Linked DNA regions of Drosophila melanogaster. The protein of the gene in region 1 purifies or fractionates together with the protein of each later gene. This does not show direct contact. Each region holds a gene or a part of one and is shown on either strand. Other genes may lie near its edges. The genes, in order: CG4949 and Tep4.

Region 1 (4,863 bases):
TTCCGCTGCTGCTGCTGCTGCTGCTGCTTATGCGTCTGCTTCCTCTTCTCCTTCGTCGACTGCTGTTGCTGGTAGTGCTGCTGCTGCTTCCTCTTCTCGTGGAGAAGATAATGCAGCCTTATTCCGATTTTATCCAATATTCTGGGGCCTTTGGCGCCTCCTGTTTGCTCCTCCTTTTGCCTCCACCGCTTCCTCTTCTTCTTCTCACCTGCCAAGGCACGCTCGCTTGTATGTGTGTGTGTGTGTGTTGTGGTCTGCTTGTATGGGAGGCTCTCAGTGGCATGTGTGTGTGTGTGCTTTTCGTCTGTGTGGCCCGCTGACTCGGTGTTTGTGTGGCGTATATGTGTGCCTGAATTGCGGTCGCCTTATTATCGGCTTATTTTGCTGCCTCCTAAAAGTACAAACATTCATAGCAATCCTTTAGACAGCTTCCTTTTTGTCCTCTCCTTAATGCAATTAGCATTCGGAACGCCTTTAATTTTTCACTTAAAGCACACACGGCATTCGCCTCTGCGTGCACGACCGTGAGTGACTGTGTGCGTGCGTCTGTGCATGTGTGTGTGGTGTCGCTTGATCCGTATTTCGTTTGACTTCTTTTCAATTTTACTCCCTTTTTTTCTTGGTACCTTACCGCAATTCGCAATTTGCCGCTCGCCTTCTTTGCTGGGCTGCAATCGCCGCATTTATTTGCTCAGCATTGAACGACAATTGTTTAATTATATGCCGACTTGCTGTGTTCGCTTTTTGGCCTCTATACTTGATGATTTTTTTCAATTCTTTTGCATTACGCTTTGTGCGGTCTGTTCGTCGGCACGGCTGTGTTGAGTTTGCCAGCAATCGGTCGCTGCGTGCGGCTATCCCTCTCGCGCGGCACGCTATGCGGGTGCGAGAAGAGTTCGGCTATATGTGCCAATTGGCTGGTTGATATGGTGGACTCTAGGTGGCGCCCCGTTTGTGGTATTTTTTAGTGCCTGACACCGCTAGGCGTTGGACGGATTGCAAAATGGTCACTCTGTAGCCGGGGATGCCAACTAGGTTCGCATTTAAATTCTTTTTTGGTTACTGTTAAATAATAAATATATATATAAAAACATAACTTTTAACTTTTAACTTTTAATTTGACTTTTGTTATTGTACATATTATGTATATACGCAATAGCTGATCTTTATAAACTTTCGATGATACTGAAATAGTTTTAGATATAGATAGTTTATATTAATTTATCATATATTGCACAACATCATTTCGATAGTATCGCATAATCATTTCGGGCACACTGCTCAAGGGTATTCCTATCGGATGTATTGTTTCTCGATAAGCCGACTTAAAAATTATATGTTTTTTAAAAAAAATTATATATACATATTTACACTTGAGAAATAAGAAAAAGCATTTGCATATTATTAAATTCAATAATTTTTTAATTTAATATAAAACAAAAGAACAAAGAATGATAATTCAAACTGAAAAACAATGAGATTTCTTTTCATATGCAAGATCTTAAGGTGGTATAACTGGTAATAATAATTATTTGACCTGCTTTGCTAAATGCCCTTTCCGACTCCGACGAAGTTGTCCATCGACTTGCGTCAGTTTCACCACAAACCCAAAATATATATGACTGCAAGCTAATATTTGAAAGTAATTAATTATTTGAATTAATTAAAATAGTTGAAGAAATTCTAGTGATTAACCTAAAAACATCGATAGTCTGAAATAAGCATCGATGTTTGGAATATTTAAAAAAAAACCTCGGTGCATCGATATTAGCATCGATGTTTCGGCACCTCTATTAAAAACTCATCCCGATACCGATAATAGCGGCAGAAGAATTTTAGAATTCCTTAAATATATATTGTTTAATTTGTAAGCATTTTTAAGGAATGAGTTTGAGCGACTGCAACAATAACTATATATATTTGACGGGCAGTGAGGATTACGCCCTTAATTTGGCAAAGGTAAGTTCTGAACATCGGATTCAGGTCGGTTTTTGAACATCAAATTGCATTTCTTTTAGCTATGCGAACGCTTTGCCACCAAAGAAAAGCGCGTCTTACTGATCACCAGTCGCCAGCAGGGAATGGCAAAGCGCTATCCATGGGAGGCCCATAACTGCAGCAAATACCTGACCATTCTGCAACTGGTGGATGTGGAGAGCACCCCGCTTCGCATGCTGGAAATGCAGGATAGCGCCGAATCCTTGCGCAGTCCCGATTTGATAGTCTTTGATCTGCAGTCGCTCGTTTTGGATGCACTACTGCGTCCTGTGATGCAGCAGTGCTCCACGAACAAAATGGTCCGGCAAATTGCCAAGTGCTCCGCATCCTTTGTGAATTACCGCGAAATCCTGGCCAATCTGGCGGAACAGAAGGCGGGCAAAAGCATCGACACCATTGTGGTCATGTCGCAGGAACCGTATCCCATGTCAGCAGCCCAGTTCAAGCTGCTTATTGGACTCTATTTCCACGGCAACGAGTGCCACACGAATTTTGCCAAGCTCTCGGCCAAGATCATGGTCTCCCAGAGATTCGCCTAGACGAAGGACAGAAGTTTGGAGCCACTACAGTGCCTTGGTAACCAGTTCCTGAGTTTAATCATAGCTGGCAGTATTGTAGTTATTCGCCGTATGCTCTTGCTTTTCAAACAATACTTACTTAGAACGTTTACCTTATGCATTATTAAAACATGCATTTTGTCAGGTTAGACGAATATTTTCAAAGCTGGAACGAATTTTCCAATCTCGAACGAATTTCGAGTTATTAAGACTGCATTTCCATTTTATTGACTTAAAGCTATTCATATTGCCTTCCCAAAAGATATCCAAATGGGGAACGGTCGAATATTTAAGAAAATGAATTTATAAAAGGCAAGGCACGCTATATTATATCCGCATATAATACTAAGACAGTGCGTACATTTGGCAAGAACTTAAGAAATACTGTACGTTGAAAATATCTCCCTACATGGCATCCATGCAAAATGTTATACGAAAGCGAAGCAATCGAATGCTCGATCAAATATAAGACTTTATTATAGTATACTATTTAGTCTAAAAGGGATTAAAACTACCAAAAAAAAATTGCTGATAATTAATTATAATATACATACATATAACAATAATATTTATTATGCTAAACGGAAATCTCAACTTAAGGGAATTTATATGAAATAAAAAAAAAATTTCGAATGCATAAGATACGTAAATGCAGCTAAAAGTATTGGAGAATGTATTCCGGAAATACGGCTAGTGATCTCCGGAACGCAAGCCACCAAAGCCCGTTTAAAAGGAACTAAAACTCATTCACATGTAGCCCCACCCCAAATCCCTGCTGCCTTCGTCTTCGATTGGAATCCGATCTCCGCATCCCAGCCTCATATGTAGTCCAGCATGCCGCTTATGATCTCAAAGGCATCCCGAGCCGTGGGCTCAATGGCGCTGCTGGGCAGCAGATAACCGTGCACTCCGTTGTCCGCCAGCTGGAGCGTGTAGCTGAAGGGAATTCCGATCTCGTAGGCGGCAAAAGCGTCCGCACAGCCTGGATAAATCAAGGAAGCCAAAGGATTGGCAAGGTCGGATAAAGATCTCTATTATATTCTACTTCGAAGCAAATAATATAAATATTACGCACCCGATCGCTGTTCAATTAGATCGTTGGATGCGTCGACCTTATATCGGGACTTACTACCCTTTTTGCGCAATCCATCGGTACCCACCATCGCCACGTCCAGAAAATCATCCAATCTTTCTGAATTGAAAGTGGAATTGGCCTTGACCGGATAGGATATCACCTGACCATAGGCCTGTAGGGAAATGTAAAGCTGCAAAAATAATGAATAAAGTTAATAAATCAAAAAATATATCTATTTTAGAGAGTTAATATAAAAATTATATATTGTTCTAAGCATACCTTTATCTGCGTCCTATAGTCCATAAGGAACTCAGATACTGCCTTGGTTTCCGGTTCAGAAAATGGCGCTGGACCGGCGTAGAACTCATTGCAGGGTGCCTTGGAGCTACCCCGTTTGCCCCAATGATACAGCCAGTTTCTGTCCAGGTCCACCCCGTAGCAGACCTTATCCGGACCCCGTTTTTGCTGGAGCCATGTCATCGCCGAGTCGAGGAGGCCACTGGGAGGTGGAGTCTGGTGCTGAGATCGCGACTTCTTCCAGAAACGATCGTACTCGTGGCTGTACGCATATCCGTCCGGATTCAGGACCGGCATTATGTACCATGTGGTGTTCCGGATGAACTCCACGTCCTCGTTGCTTTCTGTTGAGTAAACGTTTTATGGGTTATTTTTATACATAACTTTACATAATGCATATGAAATAAATGTTAATAAATATTAATTCTCTTAAGAAAATAAATACGTTGTTCAACCGATCAACGTAGCCGCTTTTCCCCAACTCAAATTACATTAGTTATCCCTTTGTCAGTCCGTTAGTCAGTATATTTGTAGACCCAGAAATCGATAGTGTATACTTTAGACCTTTACAGCTTGCCACTTCTCCTCCAGTTGGACCAAGATCAGAATGGAGAGGCGAAGACCCCGAAAGTCCTCGCGTAAATACGTGTGCTCCAAATCAAACTCTTCAGTTGGAGGAGGAGTAGAGGAAGACAGTGGCTCATCATTGCCTGCCACCGCCAAAGCGTTACTCCTCCAGCCGGACGGTAATAAAGCACCAACCATGACATCCCTTCTGGGCGAACGACTCAGAAGAGTTTCTCGCATCGCAAGAGCTCCGCACAGCCTACAAGTTACCGAAAATCCAGAAGAAGGTGGAGCACCAATCGTACCACTAAGAGAATCCGGCGCATCGGAAGTGTCAGAAGTAAATCCGGGGGTTATGGTCATTCCGGA
Region 2 (7,838 bases), on another chromosome or scaffold:
ATGATGTATTAGCTTTACAATAGCTTTAAAAAATAGTTTTTTCATAAAAATATTTGTATATTCAGTTAGTTATTATGAGCGTATTTTGCAGGCAGTATACTTTCTGGGTGAAAGCCAAGGAAGATTACTTGTTACAAGCAAATTAATTCACCATACATCACCACAATTTAATTAATCATGAAATTACAGCGTTTTAAAGCTAATTCCTTTCCTAGATTGCAGCGTATTCATATCACCCAATATCACTACTTATAGATTACACGGAACCGAACCGCACGAGAGAAAGAACAAACGGGGAATCACCAAGAGAAACGCAGTTGAGCGAATATCTCTTATATATTGGCATTACTCATCGCTACATTATATACCCGTTTCATTTGCAAGGCAGTGTGAAATACAGCCAAGTGACGTCATCATTCGGCAAATCAAGAGAGCGACATCTAACAAAACAACAACAGCTGACTCAGAGAGAGCAGGAAAGAGTTTTCGATATATATGTACACAACGCCTAGTCAGTTGGTCTCCGTATTTCGATTTAGGAGGCAGTTCCGTTAACACTGCAAATCAACAAGTCCAAATAATATTGCACGCACGTCATTTGCCACACGACAAAAACATAAATATTTGTATTCAATTCATATATTGGGATTTTACGCGAGATCTTCGCAAAAAATCATTTGGGCTTTTCCAAAAACCAGATAATGTACGTAAATTATTTAAAAGGAAAATCTATATTTCAAATCATTGCGAAACACGAAGCGACAGTTATTGGTGACAATTAAAGTGTTAATTATCGAAAAACCCCACACGAAATATGAATAAGTTGTTATAATTTGACTATTGCATGACGATAGTTCTGTGACAAATAACTGAAATATCACTCATGGGCAATCAGTAATACCAACTTTCTGTTCTTCTATACAGTCACGCCTATTTGTTCGCCCTTTATTCGTAATATTCATATAATATATTCATTTCTAAAAATGGTGAAATTCGAAACATTAATTTTTTGCAATTTTTTAGCAGTAAATCCCTATTTCCCATTTATTAGTCCAATTATGATTGAAACTGGCCCGAGTGAATACTCGAATCAATATTTGAAAATATGATGAAAATAGAAACATTCATCTTTGGTGTTTTTGAACAGTAAATTCCCATAAATCCATCCTGTATTGTATTCTTTTGAACAGTATGTTCCCCTAACTTCCTTCTAAAATCAAATTACGAATGATTTTTAAGCTGAAATTGGTCCAAGTGAATACTCACAAATGTAATATTTGTAAATATGATAATTAGAAATAATCATCTTTGATCCCTTTGACCAGTAAATTCCCATAAATTCCTTCTTAAATCAAATTACGAATGATATTTCAGCGGCAACTAGCCCAAGTGAATACTCACGAATGAATATTGATATTGGAGTGCCGGCGTTTTTTGTGGCCATGTTATTATTGTTAAGGTTTTGTTTGCCCAACTCGCGTCATCGATTTCAGTGGGCGCACCACATACACCGCCACACACACACACACACACACACACACCACAACAACACACACTCTGCCAGTTTTATTTACTTATAATTTTTATCAGTTTTTTTTTTTACGACTTGCTCGCCCCACTGGAGCTCGGCTTCGTCTGCCGGGCCTGGGGTTTTAGAGTCGCTCGGTATTATAACAAATCCGTGGGCCATCGAACCGAACCAGTCCCAGCTCGGCTCTGATCCCAGTCGGTCGCAGTCGCTCAGTCGCTAACCAAACTTCCGCCAGCATCGATCCCGCGCATTATAGCCTTATAATATCTGTGCTCTTATTTCCCATCCTTTTTGCCCTCATTTGACCACCAATCCAATCAAAATGCGTCGCGCAGACGCTTTTGCTGTCTCGCTTTGTGTGATTTTGGCCTTGCTGCAGACGATGGAACCGGTAAAAGCCGAGGGGTAAGTCCATATACCACAAATACTATACTATATGATCGGATCGATTTTAAAACACATCTACGGTTAGAGTATTAGTAGAGTCGGGTTAGGAATTCGCAAAAATATAGGCGATAATCAAAGCCAGATATCTAAAACTATAGTTCTTTACAAAGCTGGCCTATAAAACGTATTGTTCTTACTTCGGTTATTCGGTTGATAATTTGAATAAAAACTGATGGCTAAAAATTTTAACCATTTCCCTAATACGCTAGTGGTTGGATTCCCGTCTCACTCGAACACTTAAACACAGATTACTGCAATCCAAACTATATTATCTATGTTTATTACTTATTACCACTATTATATTCACAGTCACTGTATGGCTGTCGTCGAATATTTCAATTAATTAGGTATGCATATATGTATACAGATAGGGCCGTTTTTAATGAACATCAAGGTAATTAAGCTGTTATTTATACGCAAAATCACCTATTAGCTTAATTGTTTATACCATCTGGTTTGTCCTTGGATTTATAGGAGAGTTTTTTTACGGTTTTTACAAATCACTAACCTAATAACATTTTGCTCTACATTTTTCAAATAGTAATTTAACTTTTAGATATATAATTATGTATATAGCAAATGTTAAACATCGTTCCTTATCACACCTATAAGATTAAACACTAGACTTCTGTCCACGTAGTGACGATGAGCACCTAAAAGGGTGAATTTGGGGAAATTCAATAAAATTGAAAATCTGGTACGATAGTCCGATCACAACTATTCACTCACTTCAAAAATATTCAGAATTTCTTTTTTAAAGAGGTTTAGTTACTCCGAACTAATATCTGGTATTTAATTTTTGAGTTGAAGGTGCCATCGCCACTTTAATCTCACCTTGTTGAGGGGTGTTTTATTTTCTTCATTTTTGTTGAGCTCAACTTATGATGCTAATTGAGTTTCACTGTAAGCCATTTTGAATATGGATTTTTATATTTTTTACTCAAACAAGAGGATCACGTCACATACTTTGTTTGCCTCAATGGTTTCGCTGATCAATCTTTCACACGATCTTAAATCTGTACTTTTTCCTGTCCCGCCAATTATTAGTAATTAGAAACGAATATGAAGGTGGGTTATGGAACACACTTAAAAATGTCATAAACTTGAAGTCTAACATAAAAGGCTGGAACAAATCTAATCCAAAAAAGTTAATGATGTTCAGGCTAACAATATTGGTGTACGTGATCGGGGACTGTAAGTGCGAGAAAGATTGCTAATCGCAAAAGCTGGAATTATGTAATCTCTAAGCCGGTTTCATACTTTTCAGTAGAAGATCAGGTTCTGGGAATATTATCCGTTATATATATATATACATATATATTTCATCATTTGCTGTCACAGATCAAAAAAACCATAACTCAAAAACCTAAACCGAATCTTAGACTGCCTTTTAAAGATTGGGAACATTATCAAGTCGAGGTTAATGGTTTTAAGTTTCATTTCTGTGTTTCCCTAGAGATTAGACAATATACATTTATTTTTGAATTCTTAGAGCATGGTCAAGAATTTGATATTGATAATTTGAATATTGATAGCTATAGTTACTATCAAGAAATACAATACTATATATTATACAAATACAATACTACAAATATTTCCAAGTGGATATGTGTATGTTTTTTTCTCTTCTTGGAATTTTTTATGGCCGAATTGTTATTTGATTTTATTTTGTTTTTCATGACAATAATGTTGATGTTTTCTTTGCTTCCAGCAAGTACACCATTGTGGGTCCCGGAACCATCCACTCCCACCGTGACTACAATGTGGCCGTGGCTGTCCATCAGACCAAGGAGCCAGTCACCCTGAAAGTGGGCATCACTGGACCCTCCTACAACAAAACTGAGACCGTGGAACTAGCCACTGCCGGTGAGTTCAAGCAGATCACCTTCAAACTGCCCCCATTGGAGGCGGGTGAATATAATCTGACGGCGGAGGGCGTCAAGGGACTGGAGTTCAAGAACTCCACCAAGCTGAACTGGGAGAATTTCAAGCCATACATTAAAATCCAGACCGATAAGGGAAAGTACAAGCCCGGTGATACTATCAACTATCGTGTGATCTTCCTGGACGAGAACCTGCGGCCGGATACCGCTAAGGATGAAGTGGTGGTTTGGTTTGAGGACTCCAAAAGGAACCGCATCAAGCAGGAGAAACACATAAAGACCACCGGTGGCGTCTACACTGGCAAATTCGAGCTCTCCGAGTTCGCCACATTGGGCTCCTGGTCCCTTCATGTTCAGAATGGAGATCAGCACCACGACGGAGGTATTTACTTTGGGGGTCGTAAACAATTTGGAGGATTTGGTCATCGCTGGCATCGCTCGGATGAGCTCGTCAACTTTGAGGTGGAGAAGTACGTGCTGCCCAAGTACTCCGTCAAAATGGATGCCACGCAGCAGGTTTCAGTGCGAGATGGCGAGTTCAATGTCGTCCTGAAGGCCAAGTAAGTATTACCGGAAGTTTTATGCTTTAGGACATTCTTATATCAGCATTATCCCCCAGCTACACCTATGGTAAGCCCGTGAATGGTAAAGTTCTTGTCAATGTCCATCTGGACTCGACGAGCAGTTGGGAGAATGTGGACGGCAAGACAGTGCAAACGGACTACCCCGGACATTCTGTTGTTGGCACCGCCGACATGGTCGGAGGCAAGGCCAAGTTGACCATGGATCTCAAGGACTTCGCCAGTTATCTGCCGCACAAGACCTCTTCTTCATATGCCCAGATTACGGCTACCGTGGAGGAAGACTTCACCGGCGTGAAGCTCAATGAAACAGGCGGTGTGCAGCTGTACCCCTATCGGTATGAGATGTCCTGCACTGACTACTCCAGTTGCTTCTCCTTCAAGCCCGACAAGGAACATGAACTTAACTTCAAGATTACATATGTCGACGGCTCACTAATTACAGACACCAAGTCTGTTGTGAAGGTGGGTTAGAAATCTTAAGAGATCTGTCACTACTTATAAATTCGTTTTAACTCTAGGCCAAGTTCACTGAAGGAATTCGACGCAATTATGCTTTCTATGCCTTTGGAACAGATCATCAAGAACCGGAATTGCCAACGATTGAGAAGAAAACGTTTGTGTTTGAAAGCCATTTGAATGCGTCTGGTGTGGCGCCTTTCAAGGTGGTTCTTCCCGATTTGCCGGATATCGCCAACTTTACTCGTTACTATAGCATTGAGCTGGAGTTCGTCGATGAAAAACGAGATCTGTACACCACTTATCCCTACAGGGAACCAAAACAGATTGAAAATCCTAGCTCTGAAGAGGAAAAGGAGTGGTTCAGGGCAGAAGTTCAGAGGCCCAAGGACGTCTGGAAGTGAGTACAGTTGAGTTGAGCAAGGGTTCCACGATTTTAAATAACCATATACAATACTTCTATTGCAGCCTCAAGATCGGGCAGGAGTATCAAGTAATCCTCAACTCCAGTCGTCCGCTCAAATACTTTGTGTACAACATTGTGGGACGTGGAAACATATTGGAAACGAAACGTGTGGACCTCGCGGAACCCCAAACGACCGTCAACGTAACCATTAAGCCCACTTTCCTCACTACTCCCTATGGTCGGGTGTACTTCTACTACGTGGATGAGACAGGAGAGTTCCGATATACCGAGGAAACATTCAGTGTGGAGGTCGAGCTGCAGAACCAGATCGAAATCAAGGCTCCCGCGGAAGTTAAACCGGGTGCCGACGTTGCACTGGAGATCAAGACGTCGCCAAAGTCATTCGTTGGATTGTTGGCCGTCGATCAGAGTGTCCTTCTGCTGGGCAGCAACAACGATTTGAACAAGGAATCCTTCAACTGGCGCCTAAATGGCTATGACACCTCAACTCCCTGGCAGGGTGGATACTCCTACTACCCCGGAGAGCGAACTGGAGTCGTGACTATGACCAATGCCTATTTCTTCTATAATCGCACCGCCCCAGACTACAATATTCGTACGTATAAATTTGTCATAATAATAAACCACATTAATTTGCAATTATTGGAAGTTACAGAAGGATTTGGTGGAAGCTCTTTCGCCATGAGAAAGACTACAGTGGCACATGATAGTCATGTATTCCATTCCGGTGCTGGCGGACCAACTCAGGCCGTGGGATTCTCCGCCGAAAGTGCGTCTGCATCTGCAGCACCAGTAGTGCGAAAGAATTTCGCAGAGACCTGGATCTTTGCCGATATCGAGAGCACCGAGGAGGAGGTGTTCAAGTGGGTAAAGACCATACCCGATACGATCACCAACTGGGTGGTCACCGGCTTTTCACTGCATCCCCAGAAGGGATTAGGTGTCACCAATGATCAGACAAATATCAAGACATTCCAGCCGTTCTTTGTCTCCGTTCGATTGCCATACTCCGTGAAGCGAGGTGAGGTGATCAATGTACCGGCACTGGTCTTTAACTACCTGCCCAAGACACTGGACGTGGAACTGACCCTGGACAACGAGGATCAAGAGTATGACTTCGTGGATGCCTCGAATGAGGTTATTGGTGACCAGAAGCGTACGCAGAACATCAGAGTGGGCGCCAACGAAGCGGCAGGAGCCTCATTTTTGATCCGACCCAAGGTCATTGGAAATATTTTGCTGAAATTCAAGGCCATCTCACCGCTGGCCGGAGATGCTATACACAAGCCGCTAAAGGTAGTGCCCGAAGGAATTACCCAGTACCAGAACAGGGCATTCTTTATCAATCTTAAGGATACGGGTGAGTTTAAGAACACCTTCGAGCTGGAAGTGCCGGAGGATGTGGTCCCCGACTCCGAGCGTGTGGAATTCGGATTGGTGGGTGATCTCTTGGGACCAGTGGTCAAGAACCTTGAGAACCTGTTGCGATTGCCCAGCGGTTGCGGTGAGCAGACCATGTCCAAATTGGTGCCCAACTATCTGGTGAGGGATTATCTGAAGAGCATCAAGAAACTCACACCTGCATTGGACACTCGCATCAAGAGGAATCTGCAGGACGGATACCAACATATGTTGCACTATCGCCACGACGACGGCAGCTTCAGTTCCTTTGGGCCCACCAAATGGAGGCAGGAGGATCCAGTGCGCAATGGTTCCACCTGGCTGACGGCCTATGTGCTGCGCTCGTTTAGCAAGATCAAGGATATAATTGACTTGGATGAGCAGATCCTGGCCAAGGGCTACGAATTCCTGTTAACTCGACAGGCAGAAAATGGTAGCTTCACGGAACACGGAGAGTATTTCTATAGCTCCCAGCGATCTCTATTGACATTGACCGCAAATTCCTTGCTCGCCCTGCTGGAGGAGGAGAAACCGAACCAGGCTGCCATTGACAAGGCGGTTGCCTATCTGAGCGCCAATACTGCCGAGTCCATTGAGCTCCTGCCCAAATCCATTGCCATTTATGCCCTGCAAAAGGCCAAGGCGCCGGAAGCTGCCAAGCAGGTGGCCAGTCTTAAGTCCCTGGCCAAACACGAGGACGATCGCACCTGGTGGACCGAGGATCTGGATAAGCTGCGTGCCTCCAAGAACTGCGGACGCTGGTGGTGTTGGATCTGGAGTCAGGATGTGGAGATCACATCATATGCGCTGCTTTCCCTTCTGGATTCAGACCAGGAGACAGCCGACTCTGTTCTGAACACCGTTCGCTGGTTGATCGCCCAGCGTAATGGCTTCGGAGGATTTGCCTCCAGCCAGGACACGGTTGTCGGCCTCACCGCCCTCATTAAGTTCGCTGAGAAGTCGGGCTACGAGGCGGCCAAGTGGGAGGTGACCGTTTCCAACAAGGGAAAGCGTGAAAAGACCGAGAAGCTCAACACATCGGAGGAAAATGACCTGCTCCTCCAGACAGTCGAGTTCCCACAGGGCACCAAGTCGCTGGAGTTTGAAGC

Evidence for each region.
Region 2: the proteins of CG4949 (region 1) and Tep4 purify together in Drosophila melanogaster (affinity purification with mass spectrometry, with the first as the bait; one large-scale study listed by BioGRID). This does not show direct contact.

Annotation. Positions count from the first base shown.
Region 1 is NC_004354.4:17,077,050-17,081,912, forward strand, and holds CG4949 (uncharacterized protein), read left to right. Parts: upstream 1-1,790; 5' UTR 1,791-1,884; coding exon 1,885-1,959; intron 1,960-2,018; coding exon 2,019-2,537; 3' UTR 2,538-3,373; coding exon of another isoform or gene 3,374-3,537; 3' UTR 3,538-3,630; coding exon of another isoform or gene 3,631-3,820; 3' UTR 3,821-3,909; downstream 3,910-4,863. Other genes in the region: CG8945 (uncharacterized protein), read right to left, coding at 3,374-3,537, 3,631-3,820, 3,910-4,271; CG4955 (uncharacterized protein), read left to right, coding at 4,535-4,863.
Region 2 is NT_033779.5:19,547,993-19,555,830, forward strand, and holds the start of Tep4 (Thioester-containing protein 4), read left to right. Parts: upstream 1-1,700; 5' UTR 1,701-1,853; coding exon 1,854-1,936; intron 1,937-3,689; coding exon 3,690-4,421; intron 4,422-4,480; coding exon 4,481-4,907; intron 4,908-4,963; coding exon 4,964-5,301; intron 5,302-5,369; coding exon 5,370-5,923; intron 5,924-5,977; coding exon 5,978-7,838.